Lytechinus pictus: one gene and its partners. The protein of the gene in region 1 interacts with the protein of each later gene in a biochemical or structural test. Links are inferred from orthologs where the notes say so. Each region holds a gene or a part of one and is shown in the gene's direction. Other genes may lie near its edges.

Evidence for each region.
Region 2: the proteins of serine/threonine-protein kinase PINK1, mitochondrial-like (region 1) and F-box only protein 7-like form a complex in vitro, tested with the Homo sapiens proteins (2 studies listed by BioGRID, with this or other methods). The link is inferred for Lytechinus pictus from reciprocal best matches to the Homo sapiens genes PINK1 and FBXO7.
Region 3: the proteins of serine/threonine-protein kinase PINK1, mitochondrial-like (region 1) and BAG family molecular chaperone regulator 2-like form a complex in vitro, tested with the Homo sapiens proteins (2 studies listed by BioGRID). The link is inferred for Lytechinus pictus from reciprocal best matches to the Homo sapiens genes PINK1 and BAG2.

The regions. Positions count from the first base shown.
Region 1 is NC_087258.1:17,372,532-17,376,288, forward strand, and holds the start of serine/threonine-protein kinase PINK1, mitochondrial-like, read left to right. Parts: upstream 1-1,095; 5' UTR 1,096-1,467; coding exon 1,468-1,887; intron 1,888-2,282; coding exon 2,283-2,576; intron 2,577-3,757. UniProt on the Homo sapiens protein: Serine/threonine-protein kinase which acts as a sensor of mitochondrial damage and protects against mitochondrial dysfunction during cellular stress.
Region 2 is NC_087247.1:58,833,118-58,836,874, reverse strand, and holds the start of F-box only protein 7-like, read left to right. Parts: upstream 1-1,155; 5' UTR 1,156-1,535; coding exon 1,536-1,648; intron 1,649-3,757. UniProt on the Homo sapiens protein: Substrate recognition component of a SCF (SKP1-CUL1-F-box protein) E3 ubiquitin-protein ligase complex which mediates the ubiquitination and subsequent proteasomal degradation of target proteins and plays a role in several biological processes such as cell cycle, cell proliferation, or maintenance of chromosome stability.
Region 3 is NC_087261.1:47,867-51,623, forward strand, and holds the start of BAG family molecular chaperone regulator 2-like, read left to right. Parts: upstream 1-836; 5' UTR 837-1,135; coding exon 1,136-1,406; intron 1,407-3,757. UniProt on the Homo sapiens protein: Co-chaperone for HSP70 and HSC70 chaperone proteins. Acts as a nucleotide-exchange factor (NEF) promoting the release of ADP from the HSP70 and HSC70 proteins thereby triggering client/substrate protein release.

The DNA.
Region 1 (3,757 bases):
CGGTGAAATTTCAAGAAAGTCTAAGTCGTTCCCATCCATATAAGAAAGTGTTGTCAACTCTTACAAACTACACATTGTGCTTTGTTCTTGCCAATCTCATCATCTTGTCAGACTAACAACGCGGCTTAGGAAGCGAAGAACATATTTCCAGTATTTTTCCTTGAATATAAATCATATTAGGATAGATTTGAATGCTTAGTGATAGCAGAATATTAATTTGAAAAACTTAAATGTTTTCACTGCAGTCAATGTGATAAAATTCAAAATTTCTTGACATTTTCCACATAAGGATACTTGCAGATTTGCTAGCTTTTTTAAATAAAGACATTGAACTTATTTATTCATCATGAATTTTTGTTCAAAATTACTCGCTGTGGACAATCAATTTGTAATCTTTGGATTAATTTCCTCATTTTCTATTTTTAAATGGCTAATTTGCATAATATGCAAATTAATTTTCAGGCATTGGGATGAATTCTCATGCTTAGTGATATAGTAGCATATCAATGTCAACATTAATTAAATGTTTTCAAGCAGTCTATATGAGAAAAATCATAATATCTTGACATTTTTTCTATATAAGGATGCTTATTTGCATAATATGCAAATGAGGTAGAATTTTTTGCACTTTTGATTAAAAACATTGAATTCAGTTATTTATCATGAATTTCCATTCAAATTGAATTGTTTTGGACATTTAATTTGTAATCTTTGGATTATTTCCCTTTTTTTTCTAATTTTTCATGGCTAATTTGTATAATATACAAATTTCATACATTTCCACTGCTTGGATTTCTTGGGAATTTTAGTATGTTGTTTAGGGGACCTTCCTCGAAAGCATTTCAGTGGAATATCTCGTGTTGCAATTAGTGGTGGGTTACCCCCCTATTCTGGCTAGATTGACTGGACTAATAAGTAAGTAAGTACGTAAGTAAGTAAGTAAGCAAGTAAGTAAGTAAGTAAATAAGTACAAACGTTTTGTTTTTAGTAAACAAGAACAGCATTACGGGAATTCCCCTAAATAATCCTTACGTCATTGTCCGTGCCGAATATTATTCTTTTTTCAAAGTCTCGATGATGAAATAAATTTTTCTTGAATATGAAGGAAAAATATAAAAGACATTGTAATGACTAATATATTAAAATTTAACAAAAATTAAACCCAAAGATATTTTATTCAAAACTATTTTGATGTTTCATAAGTCTTGAGAGGGAATGTCCATGAACCCAGTAATCGAAAATGAAAAATTAGACTCGTAATTTAGACCATGCAGTTAGCTTTATCCAACTCTGTGGCTATGGTATACCGAATCTTTAACGACGCAATAACATCGGCTCTTCTGGAGTTTTGTCTTTTAAAGTAAAAATACCTCGAGTATGTGAGTCGTTAAAATATAGCGTTCCAGTATTCTTCTCTGAACTATCCCAAATTCCAACTCTGATAGAAGTATGGAGTATCTGTGAAAAATGTCGCTCCGACACGGCTTACAAACCATAATTCGTGTGGTGCGTCGACGGGTGCAGCAACAAGCACAGCAGCACGCCCACGGACATGCAGGCCGACAGAAGCCCGATGTTGCGATTCCAGATCCCGCTCGACACTACAGTGCTAGACCCAATGTTGTTGCAAGTCCAAAGAAGTCACAGAATCTAGCAAACAGGGCTGCGCAAGTATGGAGATTGACACCGGCTTCGTTGCCTCGGATTCCTCTTGCAAGTGGAATTAGAAATGTTCCATTATCATCAAGACGTCCAGTGTTGCCATTATTGCTTGGGTTTGCAGGAATTGGATTTGTCAACCAAGACCAAGTCCAAAATTCTCGACATGGCGGAGCTGCAACTGCAAGGAATGGCATAGATCTCGATACAGCAATAGAACTTGTGCAGGTACAGATCCCTGTGCTATAGTGTGCTTTCACTCCAGTTAAGTGCCTAACGAAATCAAAGTAGTGTATCCCTTGGCCTAGACTGAAAAATCCGCTGTTCGGAGGAGTTTAAAAAAATATTTTCTGATCCAGGGGATTGATCTATCTATCTATCTATCTATCCATCCACCTAGTAGTATCTACATCATATATCTGTCTGTGTCTGTCTATCTATGTATCTATCTATCTTCTATCTATCTATCTGGATGTGTCTTACATCTTGTCTTGTAACATTGATCTATCTATCATCTGTCTGTCTGTCCGTCTGTCAGTCCATCCATCCATCTATCTATCTGGATGTGTCTTGCATCTTGTCTTGTAACATTGATAAGTCATTGTTTTTATGATATTTTGCAGTCCATCTTCAAGAATAACAGCATTAAACCAGAAGATGATCACATCCCAGACTACCCATCCAAGCTGGCCGGTTATACACTTTCAAAAACCATCATCGCCAAGGGAACAGAAGGGGTGGTCTTCGGTGCGAGGCAGCAAGTTACCCATCCTCCACACGAGGAAGATGAAGAGTTTGCTGACCCCTCTAATGGAAACCACCCCGTGTCCAATGAGTTAACAAATGGAGGGGTTGGACAGCAGCAAAATGAGGAGTTGCCTGTCTGTGATGATAAAGAGTGCAATCTAGCATTAAAGGTTTGTAGATTAAGAGAAAGGAGTTGTTAGTTTCACTCTCAAAGAGTGAAAGTCAATCTTGGCATCAGGTTGGTTGCAATACTATCATGAATCTGTGTAGCTTGCTAAGTGTGCAATCACAAGCGTTGAATATCATTTAAAAACTTTTAAGAGTGCTTAATGTGTTTATTAAAAGCCCAGCGCACACTATGCAATCCGATACGATGCAATTTTTTAATATTAAACCTTGTTTTGCATTAAATATGAAAGTACTAAGAAGTAAAAGTATTGTATTTAAAGTTCGGCCTAGTGTTAGGAATAATAAGATCATAATTATACTTTGCGGCAAGCCCTTTGTTCAGAGAAATGTCTAAATCAGCTTCAAGTTGCAGCCGATGATGACGTCATTAAGATTTGTCAATTGAATTTGACTGAATTTCGATTTTAGCTATTCCTACAAATATTCTGAGCTCTGATTGATGAGATTTTATTGGTTGGAATGTTCTAATCAAATGTTATTATAATTTCTTTGAAATTTGGATCGCATTGTGAATGCTAGGCTTAAAAATTATTAAGTTTTAATACATTTACTGCATGAAGCTAGTCAATGAAAATGTTCTTGTAAGAATAGAAATGTGGAAAATTACAAGAATATCTTACTTTACAGTAAGGAGCCTTTGCCATATCTACAGGCAGGTTTAAAAAAGTACACCCCAACAAAAGTTGATTTGAATGAAATAGAGAAAAAATCAAACAAGCATAATGATGAAATTGTTATAGATGGAATATAGAATACGAAAATGATGACATTTTAGTAATTAGTTTCACAAAATCGTTATATGCACATCCTGGGCGCCAGTGGGTGGTATGTAAATTAGGGAAACTTAAATGACATTCATCATATCTTTATGTATAAATTTATAATTTAACTGTATTGAAAGATGTAATTTCTTCTTTATATATAAATGAACCTACTTTGATTCCTCCCACAACACATGGAATTGCTATTGTTATAACCTGTAATCATTTAAACATAGAGTTTCTTTATTTTCAAATGATGCAAAAATAGAAATATTGAATTCAAACAACAAAATACCAAACAAGTAGTGTGTCACATCATTAACTTTCTCATTTGCCTATATCTGTGATGTAAATTTTCAACATAATGTTTGTATAATTTTTCTCTTTTATTTAAACCAGCT
Region 2 (3,757 bases), on another chromosome or scaffold:
AACTACTGTTTTCAGTAATACATGAAGAGAATACGTATCTCGTTACATTTGCCTGTCAAATAATGCTAGCGCGAAGCGCTAGATGAATTTATTTTGATATTCAGTACTTTTTGTAAGCATGAACAGAATGCAATGGAAACTCGATTCGCAAGCAAAATAATTTGTGCAAATTGACTTTAAAATTGGATAGGCATATTCTAAGCTCCATGGTATCCTAGTGAGCAGATTACTACATTTCACTTAACAAGGAATGTGAGCGCGAAGTCTGAGCGAAATTTTCTTTTTTATGTAATGTCCCGATATTTTTTTTTATTTTCCAATTATCCCCTCCCCTTATTTCATTCACATTTCTTTTTATTCTTATCTTGTTTTCTCCTCTCTCTCTCTCTTTTTTACATATTTTCTTCTACATGGTGCGAAAGAACTGTTTTGTTGGTTGTCTAGGTTTTCTGATTTTTTTTTATTTTCCATAGTAAAAACTTTCATTTTTGCTATAAAAATATAGGTATTAATATTTCTTTGTTTCAGCTGTTCAGTTTACTTGCTATCTTTATCCTCTTCCTTTCTTTCTTCCTTTCTTCCTCCTTCTCTTTCTTTCTTCCTTCCTTTTTTTCTTTCTCTCTTTTTTTAGGGGGGATCGACCGTCCCCTCCTCCTGAAATTTAGGGGGCGTGTCCCCCTTGTCCCCCCCCCCCCCGCTTCCGTCGCCTAGCATGTCTACATCTTTTAGAAGAGATGGCAAGATCTTGGATCCGAGATTTTGCCATCTGATCATCTCTTGCACAAGATGTAGACATGACGAGATCCAAGATCTTGTCATATGGTGGCACTTTTGGTGGCACTTTTAAGCTTCTATAAACTTGTCACCTGTTTGCCCACATATTTTAAAATTGAGTTTGCGAATTAAAGACACCGTATTGTTTTTCTTTACTGAGCTGCGTTCTTCTTCTTCTTATGTTGGTTTGAGTGGCGATTAGTCATATTTGACTATTGTCGCCATTGACTCTATTAATAAAAAATCTCACTTCTCACATAATGATATTATTACCAATATGATGTATACATATATGAAATATTATTCTTGTGTATCCTTTTAATATTAAAAAGGATAATTATGGTATGTACAAAAGTTTGTCGTAACTCTTGTCAAAATGGCATATAAACAAATCTTCACCAAAAACAAACCGCTATCTTCAGCTCAGTTCCAACTAGTTGCGCTTGCCCTGCCCTTTCAAAGATGCAATCATACCGGTCAGCACGGTACATTGTGCCGATTTTTCGGACATAAATGCCTAGGTCACCCATGCATAGACGAGGGGGCGCTAGTGTACCTGTGCTTACAGATGGGTTAAACATTAAAATAATTTGTTTCTTTTTTTTTTTAAACAACAACAACAACAAGGCGAAAACACTTGTGGGCTTTGTTAGTTATATGTGCAGAACATATCATTTTGTATATTATATCATTTTGTATATTATATATGCGTTCGGTACTTGTGACTCTCCCGTGACTCTGCCCGAAGTCAGGATTAAATAATGAAATTAAGGATAAGACTGGGTGAAAGAACCGATAAAATTGCCATTGGAGATGGAGAAACAAAGGAAGAAACACTTGAACAACTTTCATCTGCCGTTGGTAATGCTCTGAGGTATGTTAAATTTTGGCATGTTTCAAAATGGAATCATCGGCCATTCGGCAGCCTGTTATACAGCCTACAGCCTTACAGGAATCAATTGTGGGAGTCGCCTCATCCTGCGGCCTAACCCAGAGAGCTCCCGCCCGCGTAGCGGGCGGGAGCCCAGAAGCTTACCGTGTATTTTACCATTGTCACCGGACTAGGGTGATTTATGGTCTAAATATTTCTCCAAATGAATTGTGAAAACGGAAAGTATACAATTACCACGATTATATGGATGAAGGTCTAACGAGTGGCAGATTCCTGACATCTGGGCACAGTCTGGAACCTCAAAAAAACGAAAAGTTCTCTCCTTCTACCCAGTCTCGATCGGCCATTTTGTTACGATTTTTAACAAAAATGGCCGATCGAGACGGGGTAGAAGGAGAGAACTTTTCGTTTTTTTGAGGTTCCAGACTGTGCCCAGATGTCAGGAATCTGCCACTCGTTAGACCTTCATCCATATAATCATGGTAATTGTATACTTTCTGTTTTCACAATTCATTTGGAGAAATATTTAGACCATAAATCACCCTAGTCCGGTGACAATGGTAAAATACACGGTAAGCTTCTGGGCTCCCGCCCGCTGTGCGGGCGGGAGCTCTCTGGGTTACCTGCGGCCTAGACCCTGGCCCTGCCGACGTTGCGAGCGACATGCCCAACTCCCGAGGCGAGGCCAAGCTTGCAATCAGTACTGACAGTCTACAACATAACATTTCGCACGGGAATATTGGGCCCCAATCTTGGAATACTTATGCCAAATAGAAGCAAGGCATAATTTTAGCTATAACTTTTTAATGTTATCTAACATTTTTAAAACAATTTTTGCATTGAAACTTTCAATGCAAAAATTGTAAGATAACATTGAAAAGGCAAAATTCATTGTCATTAATTAATGATTATGAATATGATCTCGATTCTCATTTTAGTCAAGTCATGGCATGTTGCACGTACGGTCGTACCTCAGGCACAAGTGATGTTCGTGCAGGCTCCACTTCACTACCGCTACACTACGTTACACCTACTCGAACATCAAGGTCCAAAACTCGCTCTGAGACTGAGTGTGATACTCCGAGTGGCAAAGGTGGGAAAAAATGCATATTTATTGTAAAAATCCTACACAGAAACTAGCCTGAAAAGAATTAGACCAAAAGCTTCGGTCTCTGTTATGTTGGCTGTTCCGCTGAACTCTGCTCTGTTGGCTCCACTAACCAAATACAGTCTTACAGAGACCAAAGTTCTAGCTCAATCTGTACAGGGACTCAATGGCCATATATGTTTATGTACCGTATTAAGTTCGGATAAAACAGGGAAGTGAAGTCGCACGACAGCCGAAGTAAGTCACTGTTTTTTTCCCCCTTTCAAGTTTATTTTTCCCAATTTTGGTGCATTTCAGGCCAAAATGGAATAATAAACTTTCTTTTGGTACAGTTCTTTTCATATGTTTTTATGAAATAAAGACAAAAATCGATGAGCCCCATCGGGGGATTTTGCATTGTTAACCCCCTAATAATGGCTGCACGATAGCGAGCCGTCTGTGTACGAGAAGAAATAATTTTTGTTTTAAATGTTAAAAAACTCGAAACAGACAGCTGCCAGCTGTCTAGAAAAGAATAAGAAGCTTCATTTCTTTTCATCCTAATTTCACTCCATATCCATCCTCCGGTTAGCCTCAAAATTGTTGATTTATAGCCAATATCGAGTTCCTCACATGTACATAAATAATTTGCTGCCGATTTTAAAATATCGCATGCGCATATGCGAGGGTCCGAGCTCAGACCCTCTCGCATATGCGATGTTTTTAAATCGGCAGCGAATTATTACTACGTCTGAGGAACGCGATGTTGGCTCTAAATCACCAATTTTGAGGCTAATCGGAGGATGGATATGGAGTGAAATTAGGATGAAAAGTAAGAAATTAAGCTTCTTATTCTTTTTAAGCTAGTTTCGGTGTAGGATTTTTACAATAAATCTGCATTTTTTCCCACCTTTGCCACTCGGAGTATCAGAGCGAGTTTTGGACCTTGATGTTTGACAGTTCGGGTAGGTGGAGCGTAGTGTAGCGGTAGTGAAGTGTAGTGG
Region 3 (3,757 bases), on another chromosome or scaffold:
GTGAAATTAAGCGAAACTTTAAAATGTCATAACTTTCCTATATCCGATTTTGATGAAATCGATTGTTGGATTTTTCTCTTTTGATTCAAATCAACTTTTTGTTGGGGTGGACTTTTCCTTTAATGAAATTTTATTTAAATTTTGAGTGGATTCCGGCAGTGTGATATATGTTAACCGCAACGAGACCGTTGATAAGACCGCCTTTACCAAGAGAGGAGCTACGAAAACTTCTTTGTAAACATTGTTTTACCAAGCGCTATAAATGATATTACATGCTTACGCTTGACATAAATTATTATAAAGGTATCTAGCAAGCAGATTGGAATGCTTCTGAAAATGCCGCTATATGATAATGTTTTTTAGCAGGCAAGGTTTTTCTCGGAAAGAGGAAATTCTCCTTCATCATATTAGAGTTAGTAAGTACAAATTAAACTATTATGTGTTTCAAATTAACCATATTCACCAGGCCTCTGTGAGGTGTGCAAAGTTTTTGAAACTATTGAACGTATATTTTATTTTGTTCAAAATATGAAAAAGAGATACGCTTATGTTTAATAATGATTATCATGCGTATAGCATTTCCATTTATTTGATTACATGATAGAAGAGCAATGTCGAATACATTCCTTGCTCACGGGCAATCATTTCTCATTTCTTACACGCGTTATTTACAATTATGTATTTTGGAATATTATATTGGATTGTAATTTTGTAGGACCTACAAAGTCAATGCGAGATGCGTCGCATTGATTTTTCTTTGACGACGACGTCCTACTTACCAAATTAATGCGACTGGCGCATATAATCTGGAAAGATCAAGATTGAAGAGCGCCATCATATTCAACAACAACAACACCAACAATTACGCAAGAAAGAGAAGTCGGCCTACTGCTGGACCTGGCTAAATTAGGGACTTCAGACTTCAATCGGTTTCGAGACGAAAATCATAAGACATCTACTATTAATAAGGAAATCAGCGGAATTCTCGTCATAAAATTTGTGAATCCTTTTCTGGTAGTAATTGGAGGATCTTTTCCATGCGTACAGACAGATAATCCAGCGTAGCCCGTCTGAGTTTGATAGTTTCTGAGCCGCGGCTGCTATCGCCTTATCGGGGTGGATCGGGCGGAACGCGATGGCCTGTATCGCTGGCAGTGGACGTGAGGTTGAAGAGAAGAAGGCCCAAAATGAGATGATACCTCCCTCTCCAAATAATTTTACAGATGATCATGATGGTGGAGGAGGCAAGCAGGCCAATGAATATCTGTTAAAGACTTTGGATGCTTTGGAAGTTCGTGTTGAGAAAATGAGGGAGACGGCCAGATCAATTGATGATGAAAAGACTCGTTTGTTGGACTCTCTAAACACAATGATGCAGAGCGAGGCTATTGATCATCTCTCAGAAGGTAGTTTGGTTATTTTGAATTCTTTATAGGGATAGTGCAAGGCTATTTCATGGGTAACCCAGGGAGCTCCGACTCGCTTTGCGTGCCGGAGCCCAGGAGTCGACCGTGCAAAACGAGGGAGCCACGGGACTGGGGTAGATTGAGGTCTCAATAGTAATTTAGTATGATGGTGGGCCCCACTCACACTATTGCGAGGTTAGTATGCTATACGAACCTCGCACAACCAACGTGTTTTTGTAGTGGATTTTAGAGTTGTCGTTACCATCGCTTCATAACGTGAATGATGTTAGCCGAAACCCATTCCGCTACTCACCATGGCTTTTTCTGGTAGAAAGCGTTCCATTATCAATTTTTAACATATTTTTTTAATTTAAAAAGGACACAAAAAAGAGCAAAATCGCTTATCTCCGCCTGGAAAGTATTTTTGCTGACGATAATACTTTTTGGAAAATATTCAAAACGATGACAAATTAAACAAAAAATATAGAAAATTCTATGTACCTTGAACAAAGCCCCGCAAGTGCTACCGTTCGTTTGTCATTTAACGTTCAACCAAAGTCTTTACAGTAAAAAGATTGAACACTTTGCCGACTTCGCGTAACGCTTTGCATCGATTTACGTGTAAGATAATTTCTGTGTCTAGTCTTTTAATTGTAGTGTCTTTGATATGAAGATAAATCGCGTGCCCTCTTTCGCTCATTAGACAAAAAATTTGAGAGCTAAAAAGGTAGCTCTCGTATTTTGTCAACGAGAAGAAAAATCAACGCTTAAATGACGCATTTTGAGGGATATTCATCAAATTATGAGGAATTGACTTCACATCGTTTCGTAAGTTTCGTAGTCCTGAGGACTTCATTCTGTAAGTCCTCGTATTAATTTTTCGTAAATTAATGTTATTTGTTGAATGCGCCGTGCCTTCAATTATTCTGTAGTCGGCGGCTGAGATGTAGCCGTGGGTGGGTGGGCCCCAAGTCTGCGCACCTAACAATTTGAGTTCAGATTTAACATGAATTTCTTCTTATTTCACAAAATCTTTCAGTCAATAATTATATAATATTGACTGGTCTTGAGGGGAACATCAAATATATTGCCAGCAAAAGAATCATATTGGCCCAAGTCTTTAGACGAGGGCAATATGGGTCTTTTAAGGGCAATATATTTGATGTTCCCCGAAAGGAGGGCAGTCAATATTTTTATTATCATCCAAACCAAGATTTGCAAGAAGATACTGATTTCTTTTCTATTTTTTATGACTTGACTTAATTGTGATTGTAAACACCTATGTTTTCGTGATGTAATTGCCACAAAATTTTCGTAATTGGACTGATCTAGAGGGAGAAACAGCAAATCTGCATTGCCGAACGCTCAGCGTTTGAACGTATTATATATATTCTCTCAGTCCCATATGTACTTTTGATCGTCACATATATCCGTGTGTATATTGCTCCCGACTAAGGTTTACGTTCGCTTCGGTGTCCGATCATGGCGGGTAAGGGGGATGGCGCCAGAGTGAAGTGCACCCCTAAAAGCAAGAAAAAGGTGAAACATACCAATCCAAATGATTCTGAATGTGATATAGCTGATGACACTGTAACGATTGATATGTCTGAACATTCACCTAATGATGATTATCACCTTCAAACAATTCTCACTAAATTACTCAAAACAAAAGAATTAATGAAAACAATGGAGACTGTCTGTAAAGAAACAATGGATAAAGTAGTGAATGTTCAATGTGAAAACATGCGTCGCCACATAGAAGAAAATGAATCAGCCAACATTCAACTTCAAAATTCTTTGGAGAGTAAAGAAAAAGAAACATATATTCTGGAGAAACAGCTACAGAATGAAATCGAGAAAAGAGAAGACGTGGAGCGCCAATTGAATATTCTCGAGCAGTATACAAGGAGAAACAGCATTATAATTTTTGGTGTGAAAGAGAAAATAGGTGAAGATACCGATCAAATAGCAATTGACATTGCCAAGGATCAGCTTGGGTTCAAGTTGAAAAAACACCACATCGATCGATCCCATCGAGTAGGTCAAAAAGATCCAACCAAGGCTAAACCCATCATCGATAAATTGTGTTCCTACAAACAGAAGACGCAATTTATGAAAGCGAAAAAGACATTGAAAGGGAGTGGAATTTCTATTCAAGAAGATTTGACACTGACAACCCTCAAACTCCTCAAGAAGACAAGCCAACACAAAAATGTAAACGCGGCATGGACAAGTGATGGCCGTGTTATCGCCTTGGTTAAAACGACAGATCCTAACACTTCAATGAAGAAACAAATCTTCAGAGAAAGTGACCTTCTTGCCTTATAAACTCTTTTAACGCTACAGTTTGT